Linked DNA regions of Caenorhabditis elegans. The gene in region 1 interacts genetically with each later gene. Each region holds a gene or a part of one and is shown in the gene's direction. Other genes may lie near its edges. The genes, in order: lin-45, lin-29, lin-25 and peb-1.

Region 1 (7,667 bases):
GATTTTTCGATTATAATCTTTGATTATAATCTTTGAATAGCGTTCAATTTGAAATGTCCAATGCTCTTAAACTTTTAACTGTAGAGGTAGATTTGGTGTTAATTTCTAAAGCTGGCGAAAACCTTGCAATAGATACTTTTAAACTTTTTTGGAGCTCGTTTGAGCATGTCGGCTGAAAATTTCTGAAGACAGGACGTCCCAATGTACGATTCAAAGTTAATTTCGATGAAGCCAAATTTCTGAATTTCTGTTGAAAATCTATATTAAGAACTACGATATCTCACATTAAAATGAAAATAATTGTTATTTTGCGAACTACAATTATACTGAAATAGGTTTTTTTTTGAAATTCTAGTGATCAAAGAAATTTGAAAAAGTTTTGTATAGTCAACATTAGATCAAAATAATGCTTTCGTAGTTTGTTTATTTAAAACTTTTAATAATAATCTTTAGAACCTCAATCTTTTTGATAAACCAAAACAAATATTTGATAGAAAAATGACCTCTTTGATGTGGAATATAGTGTATTTTGTTTCTTTTTTGAGGAATTGTTCGCACTTTTCAAGTGGAAATTGGCGGAAAAAGATGAGAATAGAGTGGAATGAAGAGGCGGAACGAACAAAACACATTTGATGCGCGATCCCATTGATTTTTATTCGTAGAATTTGGATTTTTTTCATAGATTTTTCAAAATAGATTTTTAGACTCACGCTTATTCCTCAAAACATGTATCAACTCAGATGGGTCTCGTCGCGAGAAAACACATTAAGACATATGTTTTAATCTCCGTGATGCCAGCTGCTTTTATTCTGCTTTCCAACTTTCGAAAATTTAGTTTCAAAATAACTGTTTAAAAGTGGTAAAGTTGACAAATGTTAAGATAATAAGTTGATAAGTAATACTTAAGTTAAGTTGATTCCAAGGAAGCAAATGATACCAAATTTTTCTAAATCCTAGAATGAACTATTTTTTCGTGGCAAGACCAATCTTAACAGATCAGTTCACTTTTCAGAAAATTTGAAAATTACCATAACGTAAAGGTAATCAGTTGAGTCATGTAATCCCTTTTTTCTCAAAAATGTCCACATTCTGCAAAATCTTAGTTGCAATATGTCACAGACATTTGTCTAGTCTGTCAGTTTCAGATAAACTTTTCCCGTTTTTTCAACTTTCACAGCTAATTCGGGGTGTACTAACTAGAAGTAGCTTATTAACCAAATGTCATCTAGTTCCTTCTTTTATAATTTGATTAGTGGTTTTTTTCGAATATATTCTTTTCTAGTTTGTGTTTTGTCACGTATGACCTTGTTTCTTCAAATCAACTTGCTGCTCTCTTCACAAACTAAGGTCATCTGTTTCGTGTTAAGACCCAACGCTGAAAACATTGTCAACCTATTCGTGGCACGTGTCGCTCCCGATTTACACGTTTCTTTTTCTTTGCTCTCTTTTTCTATCTCTCTCGATCAGAGCACAGAAACCAGTGAGAAAAAATAGATGGCGAAAACAAACCCCGCCTCTCTTTTTTTGTGTGTGAAGAGAACCATTGGATCCAAAGGGGCCCCTGTTAACAATATATTTTTACTTTCTGAAATTCTTCTAAAGTTATCTGGAGATAATTATATTCCATAATTGATCACATAACATTTTAAAATGTCTGCAATGGCTGTACTGTATTCAGTTTGTCACTTTCATGGAGGCTGGAATCGTCGGAAATCGGCACCAGTAAGTTGAAAACTGATTTAAATCAATAGGGTACACTCTGTGAAATCATAGTGATATTTGAATAATCAAATGACTTTATGAAGCAACCCGCGGGGCTTCTGTATTGAGAAAATACACGATTGCATTTAAAACTTTGCGAACACAATTGTTTAATTGGCCAGCAAATTGAACATTCGTGATTCCTTTTTTGAACATGGGAATCCCACGTTTCATTCGTAACATCTTTTTCAATACAAGTTTTAACTTTTCTTTTCAGCTATCGAGTTACTGTAGATTTGAAAAGTTAATTTATCAACTAATGAAAATAAACGTATTCCATATTTCCATTAATAATAGATTTATTTAAAGCTTCACTCCATCTACATAAATTCATATAACCGAGCGCAACGCTGTCCTTATTATTTGAAAATTCTAATAAACCCTGCAAAATCTGGGTTAAAATCTTCTGCGCGAAAATGGAAGAGAAAAGTGTGTTCGGCCCGCGGACTAACTCCCTCCGTGTACTCTTCTCGGAAAAGAAAAAAATCATCTTTGCGCCCCTTACCGCCGCTCTCTTTCTTTTGTTGACCTTCTATCTGCGAATATATTGATTTTCTGGTTTATTTTATTTTGGAATTAACTGCAATTTTCACATGGAATGCTCTCGCGAAACGGTGTGTTTTCGAACGTTTTCCACAAATAAAATGAAAGTGAAAAATGCTAAAGGGAAACATTTATTTGTTCAGATTGTTTTAAAAAGTGCTTCACAATAATAAAATAGAGCATCTGAAAAGTAATTTACTTATTGCTTGTTCTGATTTCTCAAATGTCCTTTAAAAGTCCGTGTTTAATGTTTTACTCGTCCAAATTGTCCTTTTGTTTTTTAATTACATGTAATCACTAACAGCAATTTAGAAGTCACCTGTCACATCATCTCAAACGCCATCATCATCGTCGACACGCCGCCGAATGAGTCGGATTAATTTCAAAAAGTCATCGGCGTCGACCACCCCGACGAGCCCACATTGCCCATCTCCGCGGCTTATAAGTCTGCCGAGATGTGCTTCTTCATCTATTGATCGGAAGGTAGAAAATTAGCAACGAATCCTTTGTCTTGAATTTTTTAACACTAATTACATGTTACTTGTGGGGAATCGTGTTAATCTATTCAATTCAGAATCAAGCGTCCACTTCTCATTCCAAAGATTATCAATTAAATATTTATATGTAACTCATAATTATTTTCAGGATCAAGCTTCGCCGATGGCAAGTCCTTCAACTCCTCTTTATCCAAAGCACAGTGATAGTCTTCATTCGTTATCTGGACATCATTCCGCTGGAGGAGCAGGAACAAGTGACAAGGAACCGCCAAAATTCAAATACAAAATGATTATGGTTCATTTGCCATTTGATCAACATTCTAGGGTTGAAGTAAGCAAAAAATTCACTGTGAAACGAAGAAAATAAGCACATTTTGTTCAGGTTCGTCCCGGTGAAACCGCGCGGGATGCCATTTCGAAATTGCTCAAAAAACGGAATATCACACCTCAATTATGTCACGTGAACGCGTCATCTGACCCAAAACAAGAATCTATTGAATTATCGGTGTGATTTACTGGAATCTAACAGCATAATTCTTATTTTTGAATATTTTCAGCTGACAATGGAAGAGATCGCATCCCGACTGCCTGGAAATGAATTATGGGTTCATTCAGAATATCTGAATACAGTCTCATCGATTAAACATGCAATTGTTCGAAGAACGTTTATTCCACCGAAATCATGTGATGTATGCAATAATCCTATCTGGATGATGGGATTTCGATGTGAATTTTGTCAATTCAAATTTCATCAAAGATGCTCATCGTTTGCACCACTTTATTGCGATTTGTTACAATCTGTACCGAAAAATGAAGATGTGCGTTCAGAACAAAGGCGGGCGGCAATATTACAAAATTACCAATGTTGTCCCAACATTTGTCATTAACGTCGAAATATAGAAAACCACATTATTTATCTAATGACAACTTTTAATTATGTTTAAAGATCTGTGAAAATGCACAATAATGGCCATTTGCCATAGGCAATTCGCAACTTCTAGGTCATTTTTGTGCATTTTCATAGATGTTTAAACATAATTAAAAGTTATCATTAGATAATTAAGGTGGTTCTATATATTTTTTACACTGATTTTTAATGAAAAATGTTGGAACAACATGGCGTAATTGCTCACCTCTGCTTCAGAAACAATTCTTATCTAAAACATTTAATTTTCAGCTAGTGAAAGAACTCTTTGGGATCGCATCACAAGTCGAAGGCCCAGATAGATCAGTTGCCGAAATAGTTCTTGCTAATCTAGCTCCAACGAGTGGACAAAGTCCAGCTGCCACACCAGACAGTTCTCATCCAGATTTGACGAGTATTAAACGAACGGGTGGTGTCAAAAGACATCCAATGGCTGTTTCTCCACAGAATGAAACATCTCAATTATCTCCATCCGGACCTTATCCACGGGATCGGAGCTCTTCTGCTCCGAATATCAATGCGATTAATGATGAGGCAACAGTTCAACATAATGTAATAGTCACCAATTTTAAAAGAAAAAGTCTAAAATGTATTATTTTCAGCAAAGAATTCTTGATGCATTGGAAGCTCAGCGATTAGAAGAAGAATCACGAGATAAAACTGGATCGTTACTTTCAACACAAGCACGTCATCGACCTCATTTCCAGAGTGGACATATTTTGTCAGGTAATCGAAAACAGAAAACATAACGATTCGTCAAAAGGTCAGGGAAGAAAAACAAAATTCCAAATTTAAGACGTTTTTCTAAAGTTATAAAAACAATTTTTACTCTATTCCACCTTCAAGAATTTCCCAAACGACTCTAATTATTTTAATTTCACTTATTCTCAATTATTCAGGAGCTCGAATGAATCGTCTTCACCCACTTGTTGACTGTACTCCTCTTGGCTCGAATTCTCCTTCATCTACATGTTCATCACCTCCAGGTGGCTTAATCGGACAACCTACTCTTGGACAATCCCCGAATGTATCAGGATCAACGACGTCATCATTAGTAGCCGCTCATTTGCATACTCTCCCATTAACACCACCACAATCAGCACCTCCTCAGAAGGTAGAATTCAAAAAAATCTATTTTTCTTCAATTAAAAATGTTTAGATTTCACCTGGTTTCTTCCGAAATCGTAGTCGATCGCCAGGCGAACGACTTGATGCACAACGACCCAGGCCGCCACAGAAACCACATCATGAGGATTGGGAAATATTGCCGAATGAATTTATTGTAAGTTTATTCTACATCAGCAAGGGTGCACGGCTTTTGCAAACCGGCAGTTCTACAAAAGGAGCATGTTATCCTAATTTTTTTCATTTAAATTCAGTGATCGAATATAGAAAAAAAACATTTTATTTATCTGAAAATAGCTTTTTTTTTTACAGTTGAAGCAATAAAAAAACGCTCAAAACTTCTGTCAAAACTATTAAAACAAGCATTCTTTTAGATTCAATACAAAGTTGGTTCGGGATCCTTCGGTACCGTCTATCGTGGAGAATTCTTCGGAACTGTTGCTATAAAAAAGCTGAATGTTGTTGATCCGACGCCTTCTCAAATGGCAGCCTTTAAAAATGAAGTTGCAGTTTTAAAGAAAACACGTCATTTGAATGTTTTGCTGTTTATGGGATGGGTTCGAGAACCAGAAATTGCAATTATTACTCAATGGTGTGAAGGATCGAGTTTGTATAGACATATTCATGTTCAAGGTGATCTGAACTGAGATTTTAATTCTTATAATTTAATAATTTTCAGAGCCACGCGTCGAATTTGAAATGGGTGCTATCATTGATATACTGAAGCAAGTGTCTCTTGGAATGAATTATTTACATTCAAAAAATATTATTCATCGGTAACTGACCATATCTATAATTTATGTTTAAATGTTTAAAACATTTCAGTGACTTGAAAACGAACAATATATTCCTTATGGATGACATGTCAACGGTAAAAATTGGAGATTTCGGCTTGGCAACTGTCAAAACGAAATGGACAGTGAACGGAGGTCAACAGCAACAACAACCAACAGGAAGTATTCTCTGGATGGCACCTGAAGTCATCAGAATGCAAGATGATAATCCATATACCCCACAGTCTGATGTGTATTCTTTTGGAATATGCATGTACGAAATTCTATCTTCGCATCTACCATACTCCAACATTAATAATCGAGATCAGATATTGTTTATGGTTGGAAGAGGGTATTTGAGGCCGGATAGATCGAAAATTCGACATGATACGCCGAAGAGCATGCTCAAATTATATGACAATTGCATTATGTTCGATAGAAATGAGCGGCCAGTATTTGGAGAGGTGAGTGGGAAATACCGACTTTAGAAATTTGGTAGAACTATGATTTATTATGGGGTTATTCATGAGTGTCAAAAAACTTTTAAAAAATCGATTTTTTGTACTTTGTACATGTTTCGACAGCGTCGACGAGCGAAAAACTACAGTAAGCCGCCATGCGGCGAGACCATACGTTTTCATATGACTATGTCTCTTCAAAAGTTGTGTAAATTTACGAGCTGGGCGTTCTCCCCGTGTACACCGCGAGGACAATTCGGAATTTATTTTCTTCCAGTACTTCACACATTTTCGCTCTTTTTTTTCACATTTAAAATTGGCAGTTTTGTCTAAATATGGTGGCTTCCTTTGATTTTTCACTCTTTGACGCTGTCGAAAAATGGATAAAAACATGCTTTTAAGAAATCGATGTATTTTTTAAAAACATTTTTTTCGCTCATGAATAACTCCACTACACTGAAAAATCCAAAAAAATATTGTAGTTTGATTTTTAAATAAATTTTAATGAATGAATTCCAATTTTTCAGGTTCTCGAACGACTTCGCGACATAATTCTTCCAAAATTGACTCGTTCTCAATCAGCTCCGAATGTTCTTCACTTAGACTCGCAATATTCGGTGATGGATGCTGTAATGAGAAGCCAAATGCTTTCCTGGTCATATATTCCACCTGCAACTGCAAAAACCCCACAATCAGCAGCAGCAGCGGCCGCTGCTAACAAGAAGGCATACTACAATGTCTATGGTCTCATTTAGTTTTATTTTGTTTTTTTTTTTGAAAATCAAGGGACACTGCAACTTTTTAGTTGATTTTCTCGTCTCTCCCCGAATATGTACCTTTATTTTCTCTCTTTTTTCTATTCTTCCCAGTGATTTTCCCTACCCCATGTGTACACTAACCAAAAAACTTCCAGTCGAAGAATAATCTCGCCCATCGTTATTTTACTAATCATTTCTCGTCACATTGAATCCTGTTCTATTATTCACCCCCTCATCACCCATCCCGATATTATTATTATTATTTTAACCCCGTATTCACCGTTTCCTCCAAAACTTAAAAATCCCACCAAAATACTTTCTTTCCAGTCTAAGTCCGCCTGCAATCGTTCCCCCATGTGAAATTGTGATAATTTTCATATTTTTGTTTCGGCTAAACCGGTAGAACTTTTTCTTTTCCAACTATAATGCTTTTTATTGAAAACGTTTCTTTTGATAAGTTTTCAATGTTCCCACCCCATTTCCGTTTCCAAACATCCCAAAGATTCTCTGTATGTATAGAATTATATAGAATCCAATGCCTATCCGTTTTGTTTTTGTCATTTCGAACACATTTTGAAACTTCCATTTATTTTAATTTCAAAATGCAGCATCCCCATTCCTTTTCTGAACCGGGTTATTTGAATCATTTAATTTTTGCAAACAAAAAAAGTTGAAGATAAAATAATTTTTCGCCTGACTTCCTGTTTCTTCTTTTGAGTGGCTAGAAAAAGTGTAGGATTTCAGATTAATATTTTAAAATTTGAAAAAAAAACAAAACAATTTTGTTCCAGAGGATTCCACAGGATGTCGGACGAATGGGAACAGCT
Region 2 (4,652 bases), on another chromosome or scaffold:
TATTACAAGTGTCTCTCTACATTTTATCAGTTGTTTCATCACTACTAGTACGGTAGCGTGGTGGCACAACTCGTAAAAACCTTATAGTTTTTACGATCTACTGAAAATGTATTTGGGGACTTTCTTGAAACATGCTAGTGCTGGTGATAACGGTAGGTATGGAGAGTTGGGGAAGTTTGGGGTAGAGGTTGGGGGGAGAGAATGAGAAATTATTAACAAAAAGAAAAACGATTATTTCCGGCAAATCGGAGCATTGCCGGAATAGAAATGGCCCGGCAAATCAGCAACCGGAAAATTGCCGATTTGCCGAAAATTTTCGGCAAATTGTGGTTTTGCACACACATTTTTTTTTGAAAATTTCAGAAATTCAATTTTTATCGGCAAATTTATACGCATCCTATGATCATCCTACATCTATTCTGAAAAGTAAGCAAATTCTATGCAAATATATAAAGAAAACGGGAAAAAATTCAAAAAGTCACAATGTTTCCGTCTTACTAAAAATCCCTCTAAAAACTTCTGGCAAATAGATGTTCGGCAAACTGCAAACCTGAAATTTGCCGAAATTCAAAATTTACGGCAAATCGGCAAGACGGTAAATTGCCTGAAACGAAAATTTTTGGCAAACCGGCAAACCGGCAACCGGCAAATTGCCGGAAATTAAAATTTTCGGCAAATCGGCAAACCGGCAATTTCCGCCCAGCCCTGATAAGGACATCTCAAAAAGAGGTTTCCAAATTCTTGACGCTATTTTTCGCCTGCTCCTTTTACAGTATTCTAAACTGCTTAGGCGGCTTCACGAAAACCCGCTAACTTTCACCCCAATCCCTCTTCAAATCTGCTGTACATATTTCAAAACTTGCACAGCTGTGTGCACTGTGCACTTTTCCATATTTATGAGTTGTGTCTCGAAATGGAGAGACCGACTAAAATGAAACGGGAAAAAAAGTGAATTCGAACGTTTCGTGGCAGGTGGTGGGCACGTGTAATCGGAACCGAGTAAAAGGGAATCGAAAGGAGTAGACAAAGGGCATATAAGAAATCTTTCAGTTCTTCTTTGGGTCACATGGTTTTAGGAGATTTTTTTCTTGTCTTGAATTTCATTAGATTAAAGTATTCGTTAGGTACAATAATGCTACACTTTCCAAGTTTCACCGCCGTACTTCGGGGCAGGTGCAGTATGTTGTTCCTCGACTTGTGAAATCCAAGTCTATGCAAAAACAAAAAAAAATCAACATAGACCACCTGCCGTGTTTTCCGATTACGGTATGAGTATGAGTTTTTAGGCCCCACCTCTGTTAATTAACTTTTTCCTATAGTATTTTTTTTTCTCAAAGTGTAGATTATTAGCAATGTGGCCGTGTAATTTTTATGGGTCTTCCCAAAATTTTTGGAGCCAGGTAATATTTAATTTTACAGCCGATGGGTTACTGTATTAACTAGGAAATGGTAGAAAAAGATTTTACGAATATTTTGTTAGTTGCCTATTTTTTAGTCGAAGAAAACCACAACTGAGATATAAGCTATAATCAAAGTTGAGAATAAAAATTAATCCAAGTAGATGTTTTAGGCATTTAATCTATAAAGAAATATATACTTTCCTTTCAGCTTCGCGAGGATCAAGCCAACTTCTTCAACGCAATGGATCAAACTGTTCTAGATTCGGCATTCAACTCTCCAGTGGACTCTGGAATAGCTGGAACCACCACTGGCTCCGGATCTACCACCCATTTTGGTGTTGGAACAAACTGTGAGGATTTGATTATTTCAAGAAACTGATCATAAAAAATAAAGTTAAAGTTTCAGTGAGATCATCAAGTCGGTCAACCGACGGCACTGACTCAACGGACGGTGCCAACTCGGACAATGTGACCGGATCAACTGGATCCACACCAGCACATCATTCGATCACTAATTTGAATATGGCTTTGTCGCAACACTCCATTGACTCGGCAACTGCTGCTTCATCGACAAACCCGTTTCCGCATTTTAATCAAGGTAGATTTATCAAAGCTTTTGTTTCGAAAATTTCATTTAAATTCAATTTCTGTATCTTCAAAGAATAGAAAATGCGATCAATTTTGATAGCAGAAAACTTAAAACTGAGATTGAGCCTGCGCCTATGCTTAAATCAAAGAACTGAACTTTAGACAAAGCCTAAGAAAAATCCCATGTCTAGGTCCAAATCCAAGCCTGAACCTGAGCCCAGGTCTTCCGAAGGTCGTCGGTAAGATATTATTTTAGACTCTAGTAGCCAATTACTTCATCTACCCGTACAAAAAGAAGATAAACTTTTATCGTACTTCTAAGTCAATATATTCCCGAGTGAGCCTAGTAAGCCTAGGCCCAAATCCAAGCCTAAGCCTGACCCTAAGACTAAGCCTAAGCATAAGCCTAAACCTAAACCAAAGTTCAAGCATATTCCTTAGCCTAAGCTTGAGCATAAGCCTTAGCCTAAGCCTAAGCCTAAGCCTATGCCTAAGCCTAGGCCTAAGCCTAAGTCTAAGTCTAAGCCTAAACTAAAGCCTGGGCCTAAGCCTGAGTCTAAGCCTAAACCTAACCCTAAAAAATGAAAAATTTTCTGCAGACTGCTCATGGAGCCCCGATTTATTTCCATTCACTTTTGATGGTGACTTTGAAAGTAATTTTCTACATTTTAAAAATCGTGTCATTTCTCTAAACCACGTGTCTTTCCCATTTTTATGTACCAGTTCAAACGTACCCCCAATGTACCTGACCATCCAGATTTTCGGCAAATCATAACTAATTCAATTCAATTTTCAGCGGATCTACTGAACTTCCATCAGAATTCTCTCCTGCCACATCATATGTTTTCACAATTTGGAAGATATCCACAGGTTTGCATAGGGAACACATTCAAACGAGGGTGAAAAAGAAACATTTTTGAAATCTAGTTAGAAATGCATTCGGGGGCTATGGACAGGGGACAGGGGGTGTTTTTTCGTAGAAGTGTTCCGCACTTTTTTCGAACTAGAAAACAATTTTGAAATTTTGAAACATTTTTAATTTCATTAGTTTTGTTTTGCCTAAACACGGAGAAAAAATTACTCAATTTTTTAATGAATGCATTTTAATAAATAATTTTTTTAAAAACGTCATGCTTGCCTTCTTACGTGCCTGCCTTGCAAGGTGCTTTTAAGTACATCCCAATAGATACGCAAGCTTGAGGCAGGCAGACAGGTACCTTTTTTATTGGAGTTTTTTGTTCAGAATATAGTTTTGAAAATAATTGAAATATTGCTTTAAATGATAGATAGGCTTACTTTAGGCTCATGCTTATGCTTAGGCTTAGGCTTAGGCTTAGTTTTAGGCTTAAGGTTAGGCTTTGGCTCAGGCTGAGGCTTAGGCTTAGTATTAGGTTTAGGCTGAGGCTTATTCTAAGGCTTAGGCTTAGCTTTTTGAATTTAAAGATATTTTGAGTCGGCTACAAAAGAAAAAAAGGATACAACTATTTTTCCAGAAAACGAAAAAATTTTGGTTTGTTTGCGCGGGAATTCAAATTCAATTTAGGCGTTTTTTTATCATAAAAAATTTTGAAATTGTTGGAATTTTTTACAAAATTTTTTTTCTTGTTCTAACAATTTAAGCAAAATTTAAAAATGACTGTATTCCACCTTTTTGCCGGAAATCTCTGAAAGCAAGTAGGCTTCGTTCAAAAATCTGTGCTCTAAAAAGCAAACAAAAAGTTTGAAAAGTTCAACGAGACCAAAAAGTGATCAAGCTCAAGCTTTTCCTCGACTTTTCCGCCGTGAATTTTCTCCATAAAAATTTAATTTGTTTTTATCCGGTCTCAATATGGTCTCTGTAGAAATGTGCACTTTTCGATCGTAAGCAGCCCCGCAAAAACTCCCTTTCGCAGCAGCAAGAGCTCGTACCGTTTTTGTGTGTGCTCTTCTTATGTCCGTCTGTTCTCTTTTTTCGTCTTTTTTTTGCAGGAAAAATGGTATTTGGGATAGAAGGAGGAGGAGGAGAAGGAAACAAATAGAAACAGAGACTGTTGTTTTTTCTCGAGAGAAAGAGCCCAAAATCTCCATCTCGTCCTTTTTTCGCGCGCCCGCGAACGTAGGTACACAGATCAAATTTTTGAAAGGCTGAAATTATTGTGAACAGTATTTTTGTGTTTAAAACCAGTATGGTTTAAAACTAAAAAATGAGCTCATTTTTTTGCGTGCGTCGACGTTTTTTCTTGTTGACCTAGTGGACGAAATGGAACGCGAAATTTGTGGAGATGAAAAGAGAGTGAGAAATGTAGGATTTTTGAGCAAGAGTGTGTGCTCTTTTCCCCTGATCTGTCTCTCTCATTTTTGTATGTTGAACTGTTTGATTGACAATTTTTGTTAAATGTTCCTTTTTTCAAATTTGATTTGAATTTTGAGGATTATTTTTCTGTTTTTTTTTGTTTTTTTGCTTAGGCCTATTCTTAGGCTTAGGCTTAGGCTTAGGCTTAGGCTTGGGCTTGGGCTTGGGCTTAGGCTTAAGCTAAGGCGTAGGCTTAGGCTTAAGCTTAGGCTTAGGCTTAGGCTTAGGTTTAGGCTTAGGCTTATGGTTAGGCTTAGGCTTAGGCTTTTGCTTACATTGAGTCTCTTACATAAATTCAACTGGATTTTTTCAAATCTTCACAAAATAACTAG
Region 3 (4,881 bases), on another chromosome or scaffold:
TAGCCCAGCCCATCTCACAACACATGGGTAATTTTTCGACGTTGAGCACGTTGTCCCCCAATGTCGAAAAAAATGAATCTGTAAATAATTGTTTCCTTCCAAAAACCACAACAAACTGAACAAAGTGTTACTTGAAAGTCAAATGTTTTATATTTGCTTCATATTGTGCAATTCCCAAGGTTGGGACTCTGGTTTTCAATATATCTTCTCCGGTTGGCAAGTATTCTTTTCCAATAACTCTTGCAAGGTTTTCAATGAAACTGGAAATAATAATAATTAGACTGAATAAAACCCAACGTTTAACTTGCTGAATTGTTGAGTCTTCAATATTATAAACAGTTTTATTCCTCAACATCATGGCAACTGTTTCATCTTTTATGTACATCTGGATAGACTTTATAATGTCTTTGCACAAAACATTTTCAGTCTCTCCAGTTTTATTGAACTGTTTCGTAAATATTCGGATTTGATTTAGGCATTCCTATAATGGAAATTAGTTTTGAAACATTTACCGTATTTCCTCTATTAGTTTTGCACCCCTTTGCTCAACTTTCACAGCTCATATCTCAGTAGTCGTTTGTTTTATAAAAAAGTTGTCAACTGATAAAATTTTTGCAAGATGTTTTCTAACGTTTGTAGTTTGTTAATTATTTATATGCTTAAAACAAAACGAGATATGAGTTGTCAAAGTTGAGCAAAGGGGTGCAAAACTAATAGAGGAAATACGGTAATTACTTACAATTGAAGATGGATTTTCGTAAATTAATTGTCTCCACATAATTGCCCAGTGTATCTCATCAATACCTTCCAAGATATTTATATAAATTCCATGTTTTAGAGCTCTTTTTTCTTCAACACTGTATCCTCCACAATGAAGAATTCTCAAAATTTCAATATTACAAACTACCGATAATATATTATCTAATTATTTTGAAAATCAGCTGAGTAGGTGATAATTTTTGGAAGCAACTGAAAAAATGTAGTTTTCATTGAATTTACCTTACTTGCTTGACTATTGTACTTTTTCCTGACTCTCCCGGACCTAAATATAATAAAGGTTACATTTTGATTATGTTTTTTTTTTTAATCAGGTACCTATGATAAGAAGCTTTAAAGCCTTCTTCTTACGTTCCTCGAGTATTTGTGTTTCGATTTTCAAGTTTTCATCTATCTTCAAAAATATATTTTCACTCAAAGTTTTACTTAACCTCCACCTGTTTCTTAAGTTGCTCTCTGCCGAGAACATGATTTTTGGCCGATGAAGAAAATGATGCACCCAGCTTTGAAAGGCTGAAAGTTTTGCCTAGTTTTTTTTTACAATAGTGGCTTTGGGTCTGATAAAAACACTAGTGAAAATTACGAATGAAATAATTTGAGACATGCTCAAGATATTGAAAGTTGTTATTTCCAAGTTTATATATAAACTTAAACTATAGTTTGAGTGCAAAGCACATTTTAGAAAATGTAATGTTTCCATGGTAACTTATAAACAAGTAATTAAAACAAGCTTAAAGTTTTTTTTTGAAAATGAAAAGTGAATGAAGCTGAATTAAATCGTCTTAAGAGATTGTTGGGGTGGCAGTTTGATTATTACATCTGAAAATTGTGTAGAATCATTGAAAATAAATGCCGTCCACGCCCAATTTTTCATTGACTCTGAGAAGTGAAGGAAGACATCCCTCCTATGTCAGAAAATGTACAATGGAAGAGGAATGCATCGTACCTAGTCCCCCAAGTAGTGGGGGACAATAAACACTCGGCCACCTCGCTCTATTGCGTGTCTACGTCTCACATCCATTTATACTATTGCACCGAATATTGGGTTAATGTCGGTGTTTGAATATATTTTGGTTACAGTTTAAATGCTTCAAATTTAAATCAATTAAATCATGAATAGTATCAAAATTGATAGTTCAACAAAAGTGAGTTTTTTTTTAAATAAATTTTTATTTTAATTTCAACAAACTTATTTTGTATTTAATTTTTTTTTAGATAGTTATTGAATATATTGACAAACTCCGCAATTGCTCAAATGAAAAACGACAAAAAGTATCATCAGTCATTCGTCCAGTTGACTTTCCCGGTATCTCAACTCAGCAGCTTTGTGGTTTGTTGCAATTCTTTTTTGTAATTGTATTAATATATTTTATTCAGATATTTTGATTCGGTTTGCTTATAATGGAACATATATCGATGATGTTTTCCGGGACCATCTTCTCAAACTTGTCGTAGATAAGGTACTCTGTAGTTCTTTGTTTTATTCCAAAAAATTATAAATTTACAGTCAATCACCTGGAATCAAGTCATCCACAGTGTGATAAATACAAAAACAGATAGAATTTATTCGAAATGTTTGCAATGCGAATTGATCCGGGAAATGGTCAACTATGTACAGTGAGTTGGCATTTTTAATTGAAAAATTTTGCCAAGTTTATTAATTTCAGAATCAAGTCATTTTCTGATAAATTGCATGCAGATGAGCTTATTTCGATTATGAAGCCGACTGTTTTCTTCCTCGCGCAACTGATACAAGTAAGATTTTTAGTATTTTTAACGAGCGATAAATGTTGTTTAAAGTTAAAAGCTTACATGTTGAAGGTTACCAAAATATATGTTCAAAATTGGCAAATGCTCTTTTACTACCTCATCTTTTACTACGTTGCTCTTTTACTACGGTTTACTCTTTTACTACGGCCGTATTTTTTACTACATTTTCCAATTTCGATTTTTTACTACGAAATGTATCTTTTACTACGGCCGTTTTTTTTACTACGGTTTCCGAATTTGATTTTTTACTACGATTCGTATCTTTTACTACGATTAACGATTTTTTACTACCTAATGAAAAAAAGAATATCAAAAGTTGGAATTTGAAAGTTACCTTGTAGCAGATTTTAGGTATAATTACAATTTCACTCTGAAATCAACATGAAAGTTTCATAGCTGTGTTCTTTTTCCAACTTTTGAAATATACTACTGTCTGAGCGGTTTTTAACTGAATCCGACGATATCAGAACGGGAAAATGAAATTTATGAAAATTTTCCAAACAAAACTATTTTGAAACCTTATTAGGCACTGATCAGTTATTGTAGAAAAATTCTCAATCTGTCGTTTTTGAAAACATTCCTGTCAACTTTGTGATTTGGCATAATAATAAGAAACTCGACAAGTAGGGCTCTATATACCCACATATCTTTTCGGACAGAGGGAATGCGAAAAATTAATCAATCGCAAACTTGTTAAGCTTAAGATAAGGAACACTTTTCCCGTGCAAACTATTTGAAAAAAAATCTGAATGGATCCAGATTCGAACCAGCAATGACTCTACTGAAGAGCGCGCGCTTTACCACTTCTCCAAACAGGCGAGTGGCGGCCGCGGTTCCAAGGAATATGTGAAACCAACCGAGCTGTACGAAGTAAGAAGCTTCCATTACTTTTTCAGATATTTAGTTCTGAAAACTTTGTCAACTCTCCTTATCAACAACTAAATGGTCCTTTTTGTAGTTATTTCTACTGGCAAAAAAGAGTGTGCCTGTAAATAATATCCTGCGTATAAACGTTGTTGTCCAGTGAAAACCTTCCCTTGACTTGAAATTTCTAGAAAATTGTACATGCATGTTGATACGAGATACAGAAATGAAACATTTGAAATTAAATTTTGGGCCTAAAATGTTTTTTCTCAAAAACCACTACAGTTCTTATTTTTCCAAGAGTGTATATAAAAAGTTTATTTTTTAAAATAATTTTTCGTATCAAAATCCCATTTTCCGGCTTCAAACGTAACGTTTTCGTCGTTTTCGTTATTGGCAAATCGAATTCGATCGAAATTGAAAAAATTCCGGAGTACGGTACATGTCGGTGTTTGCGTACTTTTGCGTACCGTGCATTTTATTCGACGACACTTCATATTTTTAAAAAGCAAAATTGACAAAAAAGTGCGTTTGAAACCCAAAAACAGGACATTCCATGCGAAAAATAATTTCGAAAAAATTCAGATTGCATTTATTACTGGAAAAAAACAAGATTGGGGCCGTTTTTCAGAAACAAATTTTGGGCCAATTTTTTTTTGAAAATAGCTTATTCGATGAATCACAGAAGTTCCCGAGCTGCTATTAAGTGGAATTTGTAGAATGTTTAAAAATACACTCAAAAAAAGTAGTTTTCAAGATAAATTTCAAGTCAAGCGAAGGTTTTCACTGGACAACAACGTTTATACGCAGGATATTATTTACAGGCACACTCTTTTTTTCCAGTAGAAATAACTACAAAAAGGACCATTTAGTTGTTGATAAGGAGAGTTGACAAAGTTTTCAGAACTAAATATCTGAAAAAGTAATGGAAGCTTCTTACTTCGTACAGCTCGGTTGGTTTCACATATTCCTTGGAACCGCGGCCGCCACTTGCCTGTTTGGAGAAGTGGTAAAGCGCGCGCTCTTCAGTAGAGTCATTGCTGGTTCGAATCTGGATCCATTCAGATTTTTTTTCAAATAGTTTGCACGGGAAAAGTGTTCCTTATCTTAAGCTTAACAAGTTTGCGATTGATTAATTTTTCGCATTCCCTCTGTCCGAAAAGATATGTGGGTATATAGAGCCCTACTTGTCGAGTTTCTTATTATTATGCCAAATCACAAAGTTGACAGGAATGTTTTCAAAAACGACAGATTGAGAATTTTTCTACAATAACTGATTAGTGCCTAATAAGGTTTCAAAATAGTTTTGTTTGGAAAATTTTCATAAATTTCATTTTCCCGTTCTGATATCGTCGGATTCAGTTAAAAACCGCTCAGACAGTAGTATATTTCAAAAGTTGGAAAAAGAACACAGCTATGAAACTTTCATGTTGATTTCAGAGTGAAATTGTAATTATACCTAAAATCTGC
Region 4 (7,645 bases), on another chromosome or scaffold:
AACCTTGTGTAGTAGAAACAGTTTTGTAATTTGAAAAGTTTTTAAAATCAGACAACTGAGATTATATCTCGATTATACAAATCACTTGCTCCGGGTTTTTTTCTCTAGATTTCCATCGGTTTTGGGACTGCACTGGAGATTTTTGGATGAACATGTGAAAATTTTTTAAATAATGCACAGGCCGAACAGTCACACTTTGAAAATAAATTGATGTGATCTATGCAGATAGTTGCAAATTTCAAAAAACTCTACCCCTGAACACTGTCATTCTGCCATGCCATAATTTAGTTCAGTCGGATGAATGACCTTTCGTTGGCCAATTGGATGCGAAACACTGGACGGCACCGAATCGGCACGGCAAGTGGTACTGACAAGCGACAACAAAGACGGATAGACCATCAGTTAAATCAAGATAAGAATTGCTTGTGAACTTTTTCAGATATCGCATTAGGTCGAGAAGTTAATCAAATCATTGCTTTTTGAAGACATCACTGAAAGTGCCAATATTTTAGTAATTGATATTTACACAAGGGACCCCACTGAACTCATCAATTTTAAAATGTGATTTCCAGTTGATGTAAGCAACCAAGAAAAAGGCATATTACTTCAGGTTTTTTGCACTTTTATTTTCCAATCTCACAAATGTGGGCGTATGATGAGCGGCACACTCACGCATCCAAAAGTTTGCCGGATTCATAAAGTAGTATAGAAGTGTCTCACGAGCGTGGAGGGTGGCGCTGGCCCGAAAAAAAAATACGCTGAGACTGTATTGGAAAAGTTTAATCACGTATTTCGCTCGACTCGTCATTTATTTGAGCCTTAGTTTGTGTCTCGCCGTTTTTGGTTTTCCGCCTCTCCCTCATTCCCCCCGGTCTATTCCGAATTTGCCGCGACCCATCACAGGTCACGAACTTTAGTGCCCGCACGCCGCGTTTTGTATCTGCCTGCGCATCTACACGCTGACATACTATTTGTTTGATCCGCGCGGAACTGCCACAAACAACAACAATCTGCGTCCGGCGAAGACGTCGTCACCATATACCCATCTATTGCATCCAACTCATCTCTTTCTTGTATTTAATTCCTTTTTCACACACCCACACACACACACACCACACCACAGGTTGCAAACCATTGTATAATTTTCTGAAAAGCACTGTAACCAATTAGAAAACGATTTTTCAAAAGTGGAGCAGTGCTACATATATGATACCAAAATAATCAAATTTTGTATTAAAACTTTTAAAAAGTCAAAAAAAATCGTTTGAAATGTTTTTTTTACTGACAGTCAAAAAGTGGAAATTTTTAGAGTTTATGCCTCGAACAAAAACTGAGATTTTTCCAATTTCCAATTCCAGTTTGACACACATAGTGCAACTCCAATTGCTCATTATTTTATTAGTTTATTCTTACAACCATCACCCTTTTCCCAGATGTATTTCGTACCATGATGTGTGTATGTGTGTGTGTTAAAAGGTCATTTCAAGCTCTTCGTGAAAGGCACCCTGCTCAGTTTGTGCCCTGTTATGATCAATATAAATGTGTACTTTATTCCAGGGCAACGAAACGAGTAAACACCGAGAAAAGGAAGCATTCTGGATATTCCAAACTGGGGCTGATGATGACAACAACAGTTCAAAAAAATTGCTGGCGGCTTGACCAGGTGAGTGACCAGTTAGATTTGTTCAGCGACAGGCGTTTTCAGTCGGTGGTTTGAGTTTGCACAACTGTTTTCTTGTCCTTTGCGTGAGCCAAGGGGTTTGTGCTGAGTTACCCTCTATCTATTTGTCAGAATACGATGTGATGATCAAAACTTTAACATCATGCATTTTCTTGAGATCCATAAACCCCCCCCCCCCCCCCTCTCGTGTGCTTCTCTGTTTCTCGGTTTGTTCTCCTATTCACCCCGTTCGTTTCAGTGACGTGTCGTCGTTTGTTTCTGCCTGCCAAATATGGCTACGGGGGGGAATATGAATTAAATTGACTTGGTATCTATCATTCCATTTTTATTTTCTGGGAGATGTCAAGAAATTTTGGAGACGAGCGGTTTTTAAAATTAATGTAGTTTTTTTTGTTGTGTTCTCACATTTTAGTTTTCTAATCGGGGAAATGTTGGAGTAAATTGTAATTGATAGGTACACATTTACTTATCAATGGTTCACAGTTTCAGTTAATTATCAGTATTCATATGCGTTTTTATCTTTTGTATAATTTTAACATTCTACATTTTGCAACCAAAAAGCTCTCTATGTTTCTCCTTTACGGGCGGAAAGTAGTGCTGGCTTGTACCATTGCCAATCAGCTCTTTGATTAAAAAACCAACATATCAGTTGACAGTACCATTTTGCCCCTGCTCGACTTCAATGGGCCGCGCCAGATGAGTCAGCGACCTTTGCACACGAGCCCGGACAGTGCTAGGCGCCGGGGCATGACCAATGCGCGAAAGTTTTGTTGCGTAACCGCATGTTTATTGTCCGCTTGCCAATCGTTTTCACTTTTAGTGATACTTGCAGCTCGCCCTCGTCGTTATATTTTTTTTCTGACCGTCGACGCTTGCTTGCCTTCTCCGAAAAGTTTTGATATAAAACTAGCAGTATTTTTCGTTCTGTGGCTCATAGTTTCTGACGTCTTCCTCTTTATGACTTTACGCGGAAGAAAAGGGCAACATCTAAAACCACCCAGTAATATAAAGTGCGCGGTTTCGAGGGAACAGTTTCGAGAGAAAGATTAAGTAGATGAAGGCAGAGAGAACCAACATTTGCAAATATAGTACTAGGTTGGAGGAGTGCCTCGGCGCTGCGATGCCTGTCTACAAGTTTGCACTTGGCTGGTCAGTGGCGTTACGTGCCACTCTCTGTACTGCGCGAGACGTGGCCAAACTGATGCGAAGCACAATATATACACGCCCCGAAGGGTCATTGTTTGCCGTTTGCCCCCCCCCCCCTTTGCGGAAAGGCCTTTCGTACTGTACTCTTGATGTGTGCTTCCTTCCGGCCGGGCACCCGCCACCGTGGTTGTCACAACTCGGATGGCTCCCACTTCCTCCACTGTCGAAACCGTTCGGACCGCCCATTTCCATTTTGGCTCACGCCGGGCTCTCGCACACATACTTTCCACACTTCTACTGTCAGTGGTGGCAACTGGAAGCACTCCATAGTTGACTAATGACCTTTCTAACCTTGTTCCCTGTACTAGAGCTATCAATTGTGTATCATTTCTCTTTTACACTATTTCATGTTTGAATTTTCGAACAGGGGGTCAATCTCTGAGGCAGGAAGGGTGGAGCACCAGTAACGCACTTTACTCGTTTTGCCTTGGCGCGTTCATTGTTCCATTTCACAATTTTTCTCCTAATTTTCTAGACCACTTCAGTTTTTAGAAGCGCTAGATGTTGTTTCATGAAGTGACCAGTCTTGCGTGTTCAGTTTTTTTCTTGGCGTAAATGCCCACTCTTCTTCTTTTCTCCTAGCTGCCCCTTCTTCACTTTCTCCAAATCAAGGTTCAGCTATAGAAAGTAAAATCGCCTTTCACTCATCCTGGACAAGATTGACTACGAGCTTTTGCAGCTTCTAAGACTTCTTCGAGAATGGGGGGGGGGGGGGGGGGGGCGCGACGTGAAAATGAAGGGCATTCATGGATCCCGTAGTAAATATGTGATATCATCTATACCAATTTTCTGGATATCGAACTAATCATTGACGATTGCAAAATTTCGAAAAATTTGTAGGAGAGAAACGATTTCATCTGACCGATCCGAGACTGGCACCCCTTTGTTCTAGGCCCTCTCCCGATTGCCATAGAGATGTCCATCCATCACCTTTCCTGACAACCCCAGATGGTGGCGTATGTGTATGTGTGTGTTTTTTGACTAATTGGAAACGAAAAGCCGACTCCAGACTTGTAATTTTGCTCCAGCAATGTTTTTTTTCCAGATCTTTTCAAATTGACGAATCTGCCTTTAAACGTTTCGTGATAGACATAGAAATTGACATCCGGTCAAATAATTAGATGAAAAAACCTTCCATATTGGGGGCAAAACGTCCAAGTGAGAGTGGATCGGCGACTGGCGCCAAATTGCTGCTGCCGACGCAGTTACCATACTTGGATGTCGGACAAGGCGGATTTCGAGAGTTGTTTTTATGTACACACGCCTTTCACCTCTTTGCCCCTTGTGATCTTTTTTGCATTCGTTAGACGCTTCTTTCATTTTCGTTCCTCATCACCATCATCATCCACTACTAATGGTTCAGGGCACGGCGTATGCGCGCGCGTGCCTCACACCATCGGATCGCGGATGTTTTGGCGGGGTTGGCTGTTCATTTAGGGGGGAGGCGGCCGATTGAAATGAAGAAGATGTTGTGGATGTAGAAGTAGGAGGAGATGGAGGAGGCAAAGGCCTTCTCCCTCGCGGTTCTTCGTGGCAGGCAGCCTGACCCCGTTCCTTACTGAACCGCCCCCCCCCCCCCCCTCTCACTTCCACCCGACGCCGCCATCGGAATTTTAGACTACCAGTAGAATATGGATAGCGGAAGGTGTGAAACTTCAGACTGCGATTCTCTAGATTCACGCTTACTGTATTTCTACCTTACTACTAGTCTTGTTACGATTACCTTCCTAATTTTAACGTTTGATATGTTTTCACCTTCGGCTTCTATACAATTCCCATCATCTTGAAATAGGTATTATCAGCATGTAAGCATGCCAAACAAATATTTTTGTTGTCCAGTGGTGCTCGACCGTTCCAGGATCGGTATTATGCAATTTTTCGCTGAACCAAGCATATACATACTGATAAGAAAAATGTTTGTTCTGTCGGCCACTGATTACTAGACACTTGAATTCTGACCGCCATAAATGGCGAATCGTACGCGAGAAGTGCTGACGCCGTCTTGCGCCGATGTCCAATAGGACCTTGCACTTTGCCGATGTTGCAACAGTAATAGTTTCCATCAAGGTTATGCGGACTAGTGCCACGCGATTGGGTCAAGCCGTTGGCTTCCGCCTTTCTTATCAAAATCTTCGCCCTCAATTACCTAATTTTGTGGTTTTTTTTTTCTCTCCCGAATCCATCAATCCGGTGTCAATCCGTGTCTTCCGCGCTAGGTCATGCGGGCGGCGACGGCGCGGCCCTTTTTTCGGTAATCGTCCTGGCATCCCACACTTTCCATTGGCCCGGATATAATAACTTTTTGGAGACCCCCTTTCTGGTGCCTATTTGCAAAACTTGCTTCATTTTTGGTCACTTTTACTCGAACTTTCTCTTCGACGATGACCCCCTCGCCCGCCACAAAAACAAAAAGTGAAACTTGGAACGGTACTCGTTATACCTCATGCCTTTACTTTCTCGCGCCACTTCCTCGCAGTATTCCATGGATGGAAAAGCGGTCAAAAAAGTATTATGATCAGGCTGGCGGAAGATAGATGGAAGGAATTGTGGGTCAACGAAGTCAAAACACCATTACTCGATAAAAGTCGCCGCATGTTGCGGAATGTGTGCCATCGAAACTGGTTACTGTATTTCTTTTCCGAGAATTTTGCTTTGCCCCGCTATCAACTTTTTGTTCTATCTTCTTTAGAAATTCCGAATTAAATAATGATAATCATATACTTCTGTATTCTTTTTAACCCTTCTTTAGTCTGTTTTTGAAATTTCGACCAACCACCTCAACAAAATTTACCAAAATCAAAAAAAAAAGTGAATGTGTCAATCTCGTTTCAACGCATGTTTCTCGCCAATTTCCGTACAGTCAGTTGTGCCTCCTGCCGGTCACTCATCCTCTATCTCTTCGCCACTCTCGTTCTCGCGCACCTCATCCAAATAACAGTATTCGGTGTCTTAGTTGGCAGCCGGTTGGTGCCTGCCACGATAGGTTATCAGTTCAAATGGCACGCGCCTCTCTCGACTGCCCCATCAGCTGATTTGTCCGCCCCAAGCAACTGATAGTGCCTGGGGCGGAGAGATAGATGAGAAAAAATCGTCTGATTCTAGGTGTCTGAACCTCGCTCGCTATCCAACAGCAGGTCCGCTCGTTTTTTTTGTCACATCTCTCTTCGTTGGTCATATCTCTTTTTCATCATCTGTCTAGTTTGAGTTCAATTTCTAATTCATCAGAGGTCATTTGGTTATTATTATTCTATTGCTCCCATCGCTATTTTTTTTTGCTCATTTGATTTAACACATCAATTTTCCTTTTCAGACAATGCTGGGTCTTGAAAAGCCTGGATCATCAGACATTTCGTCTTCTTCCACTGATACTTCCGCCATTTCTCCGATTAGCGTGAGCAGTATGCCACTATCACCGGACAAGGAAAAGAAAAAGGTAAGTACTTTGAGATAACTGTTTGGACTGTCCGAAGGGCAAACATAGTTTTGAAAGAGAACGTTTGCATAGTTGACCGGTGTTTGTTCAGACGGAAAATTTAGGGCTTCCTTCCCACACGAATTTCAAAACAACCTGACACCGGGAAACACCGCCTTAACTGGCGATTTTGGGCCGATAATAATAGTTTTTTTTCAGATCTCATTTGTCCGATACAATCCAGACATTCCACAAATTGTCACATCTTTCAAAGGATATCAAAAACTTATGTATCAAGGCTACCGATATAATATTTATCAGGTATCATAGACCATCATTCAAGTGGTGACTTTCATCACGAGTTGTTTTTTTTCAGATTGCTCCAGAACGTAACTTCAAGTCTTGGAGATGCGTTTGCGCTAAGAAAATGCATGATGGGCAGTGGTGCAAATGCCGAGCTGAAACAACCATGGATAATAAAAACGCATGCACGAAAGGATCACACAATCACCCTCCAAGACACCATGTCGCTGAGATCGAATTTATCAAGGTACGTGGCGAGATTACACAGTCACAACTGTCTAGGTTAAGAGCTAGTGCCCTTTGCAATTGGCGCAGTGCCAGATCAGAGCACCGATATCATAAGGTTGAATTTGCCAGCTGACTCTTTTTGTTCCAATTGGTTCCTAGGCTTGGCGCCTTCAAGTTCGAATTTCATAACGTCATGTGGAACCTCTAGCTTTTGAGAGTGTCTAAGGGAATTGTGTGTACGTGCAAAAAAGATAACTTTTTTTTATTTCGTAACCCTTAAAAATTCACTTCATGGCACCAGTAGATGGAAAAAAAAGATCGTCGGCCCTTTTCGAGTGTGTCAAAAATAGTTTGTGTATACAAGTTAAAAGTGCAACGAGATGCGCTACTTTCGGCGCTGGGTGGCGCCGCCGAGTGCCTAGGTCAGTTGCGATGTTGGTCAGGTCAAATAAAACAATCTGAGCGTGGCACGGTTCGAAACATCGGCCACTCATGCGCGTGCCGCAATTTTGCCCCCCTCCTCCCTCCCATGTTGATGAACCGCGAATAATTCGCAAACAGATCCGCGCATTGCCAAGGTCAAGCCATGGATGGCAGGCACGCGGCAGCGCGCGCGGGGACAGGCTGGGCCATACCACCCGACTCGTTAACCTAGATGCGCCAATTTTCCCAAATCTATTGCGTCGCTGCCATTCAAATTGACGGTACAAACTTTTTGCGAATTCTTCCGAATTGGGTCATCGGAAGGGTCAATTCTGACGCAATGTAAAGTGCATCGAATTTCAAATCCTGATTCGACCTTTGTAGATGCAGTT

Evidence for each region.
Region 2: of lin-45 (region 1) and lin-29, changing one enhances a phenotype caused by changing the other (phenotypic enhancement), as found in Caenorhabditis elegans (one large-scale study listed by BioGRID).
Region 3: of lin-45 (region 1) and lin-25, changing one enhances a phenotype caused by changing the other (phenotypic enhancement), as found in Caenorhabditis elegans (one large-scale study listed by BioGRID).
Region 4: of lin-45 (region 1) and peb-1, changing one enhances a phenotype caused by changing the other (phenotypic enhancement), as found in Caenorhabditis elegans (one large-scale study listed by BioGRID).

The regions. Positions count from the first base shown.
Region 1 is NC_003282.8:6,742,408-6,750,074, reverse strand, and holds lin-45 (Raf homolog serine/threonine-protein kinase), read left to right. Parts: upstream 1-1,650; coding exon 1,651-1,722; intron 1,723-2,260; exon of another isoform or gene 2,261-2,354; coding exon of another isoform or gene 2,355-2,375; intron 2,376-2,616; coding exon 2,617-2,787; intron 2,788-2,949; coding exon 2,950-3,132; intron 3,133-3,183; coding exon 3,184-3,306; intron 3,307-3,358; coding exon 3,359-3,619; intron 3,620-3,978; coding exon 3,979-4,278; intron 4,279-4,328; coding exon 4,329-4,452; intron 4,453-4,625; coding exon 4,626-4,840; intron 4,841-4,885; coding exon 4,886-5,008; intron 5,009-5,225; coding exon 5,226-5,484; intron 5,485-5,530; coding exon 5,531-5,627; intron 5,628-5,676; coding exon 5,677-6,088; intron 6,089-6,609; coding exon 6,610-6,837; 3' UTR 6,838-7,537; downstream 7,538-7,667. Other genes in the region: smg-7 (DNA/RNA-binding domain-containing protein), read left to right, coding at 7,645-7,667. UniProt on the Caenorhabditis elegans protein: Protein kinase that participates in the induction of vulva and has roles in fertility and viability. Acts downstream of the Ras protein let-60. Required for progression of developing oocytes through the pachytene stage.
Region 2 is NC_003280.10:11,930,214-11,934,865, reverse strand, and holds the start of lin-29 (C2H2-type domain-containing protein), read left to right. Parts: upstream 1-1,641; coding exon 1,642-1,750; intron 1,751-1,800; coding exon 1,801-1,998; intron 1,999-2,784; coding exon 2,785-2,858; intron 2,859-4,652. UniProt on the Caenorhabditis elegans protein: Transcription factor which regulates the expression of various genes, including those involved in cuticle synthesis and maintenance, such as collagens, and in lipid metabolism.
Region 3 is NC_003283.11:12,648,068-12,652,948, forward strand, and holds the start of lin-25 (Protein lin-25), read left to right. Parts: upstream 1-1,857; 5' UTR 1,858-1,889; coding exon 1,890-1,922; intron 1,923-1,992; coding exon 1,993-2,107; intron 2,108-2,154; coding exon 2,155-2,237; intron 2,238-2,284; coding exon 2,285-2,394; intron 2,395-2,444; coding exon 2,445-2,532; intron 2,533-4,881. UniProt on the Caenorhabditis elegans protein: Participates in the inductive signaling pathway downstream of let-60 Ras and the RAF/MAP kinase cascade to regulate specification and differentiation of many cell types. Positively regulates the fate of vulval precursor cells.
Region 4 is NC_003284.9:2,209,433-2,217,077, forward strand, and holds the start of peb-1 (FLYWCH-type zinc finger-containing protein peb-1), read left to right. Parts: upstream 1-1,618; coding exon 1,619-1,663; intron 1,664-2,809; exon of another isoform or gene 2,810-3,100; intron 3,101-4,025; exon of another isoform or gene 4,026-4,148; intron 4,149-4,203; exon of another isoform or gene 4,204-4,585; intron 4,586-4,802; exon of another isoform or gene 4,803-5,150; intron 5,151-5,373; exon of another isoform or gene 5,374-5,559; intron 5,560-5,797; exon of another isoform or gene 5,798-6,014; intron 6,015-6,197; coding exon 6,198-6,320; intron 6,321-6,387; exon of another isoform or gene 6,388-6,509; intron 6,510-6,518; coding exon 6,519-6,620; intron 6,621-6,675; coding exon 6,676-6,849; intron 6,850-7,206; exon of another isoform or gene 7,207-7,469; intron 7,470-7,645. UniProt on the Caenorhabditis elegans protein: Putative transcription factor. Binds to specific sequence motif 5'-[TC][AGT]TGCC[GA][AT]-3' in regulatory elements of target genes such as myosin myo-2. May modulate gene expression, perhaps acting in opposition to transcription factor pha-4.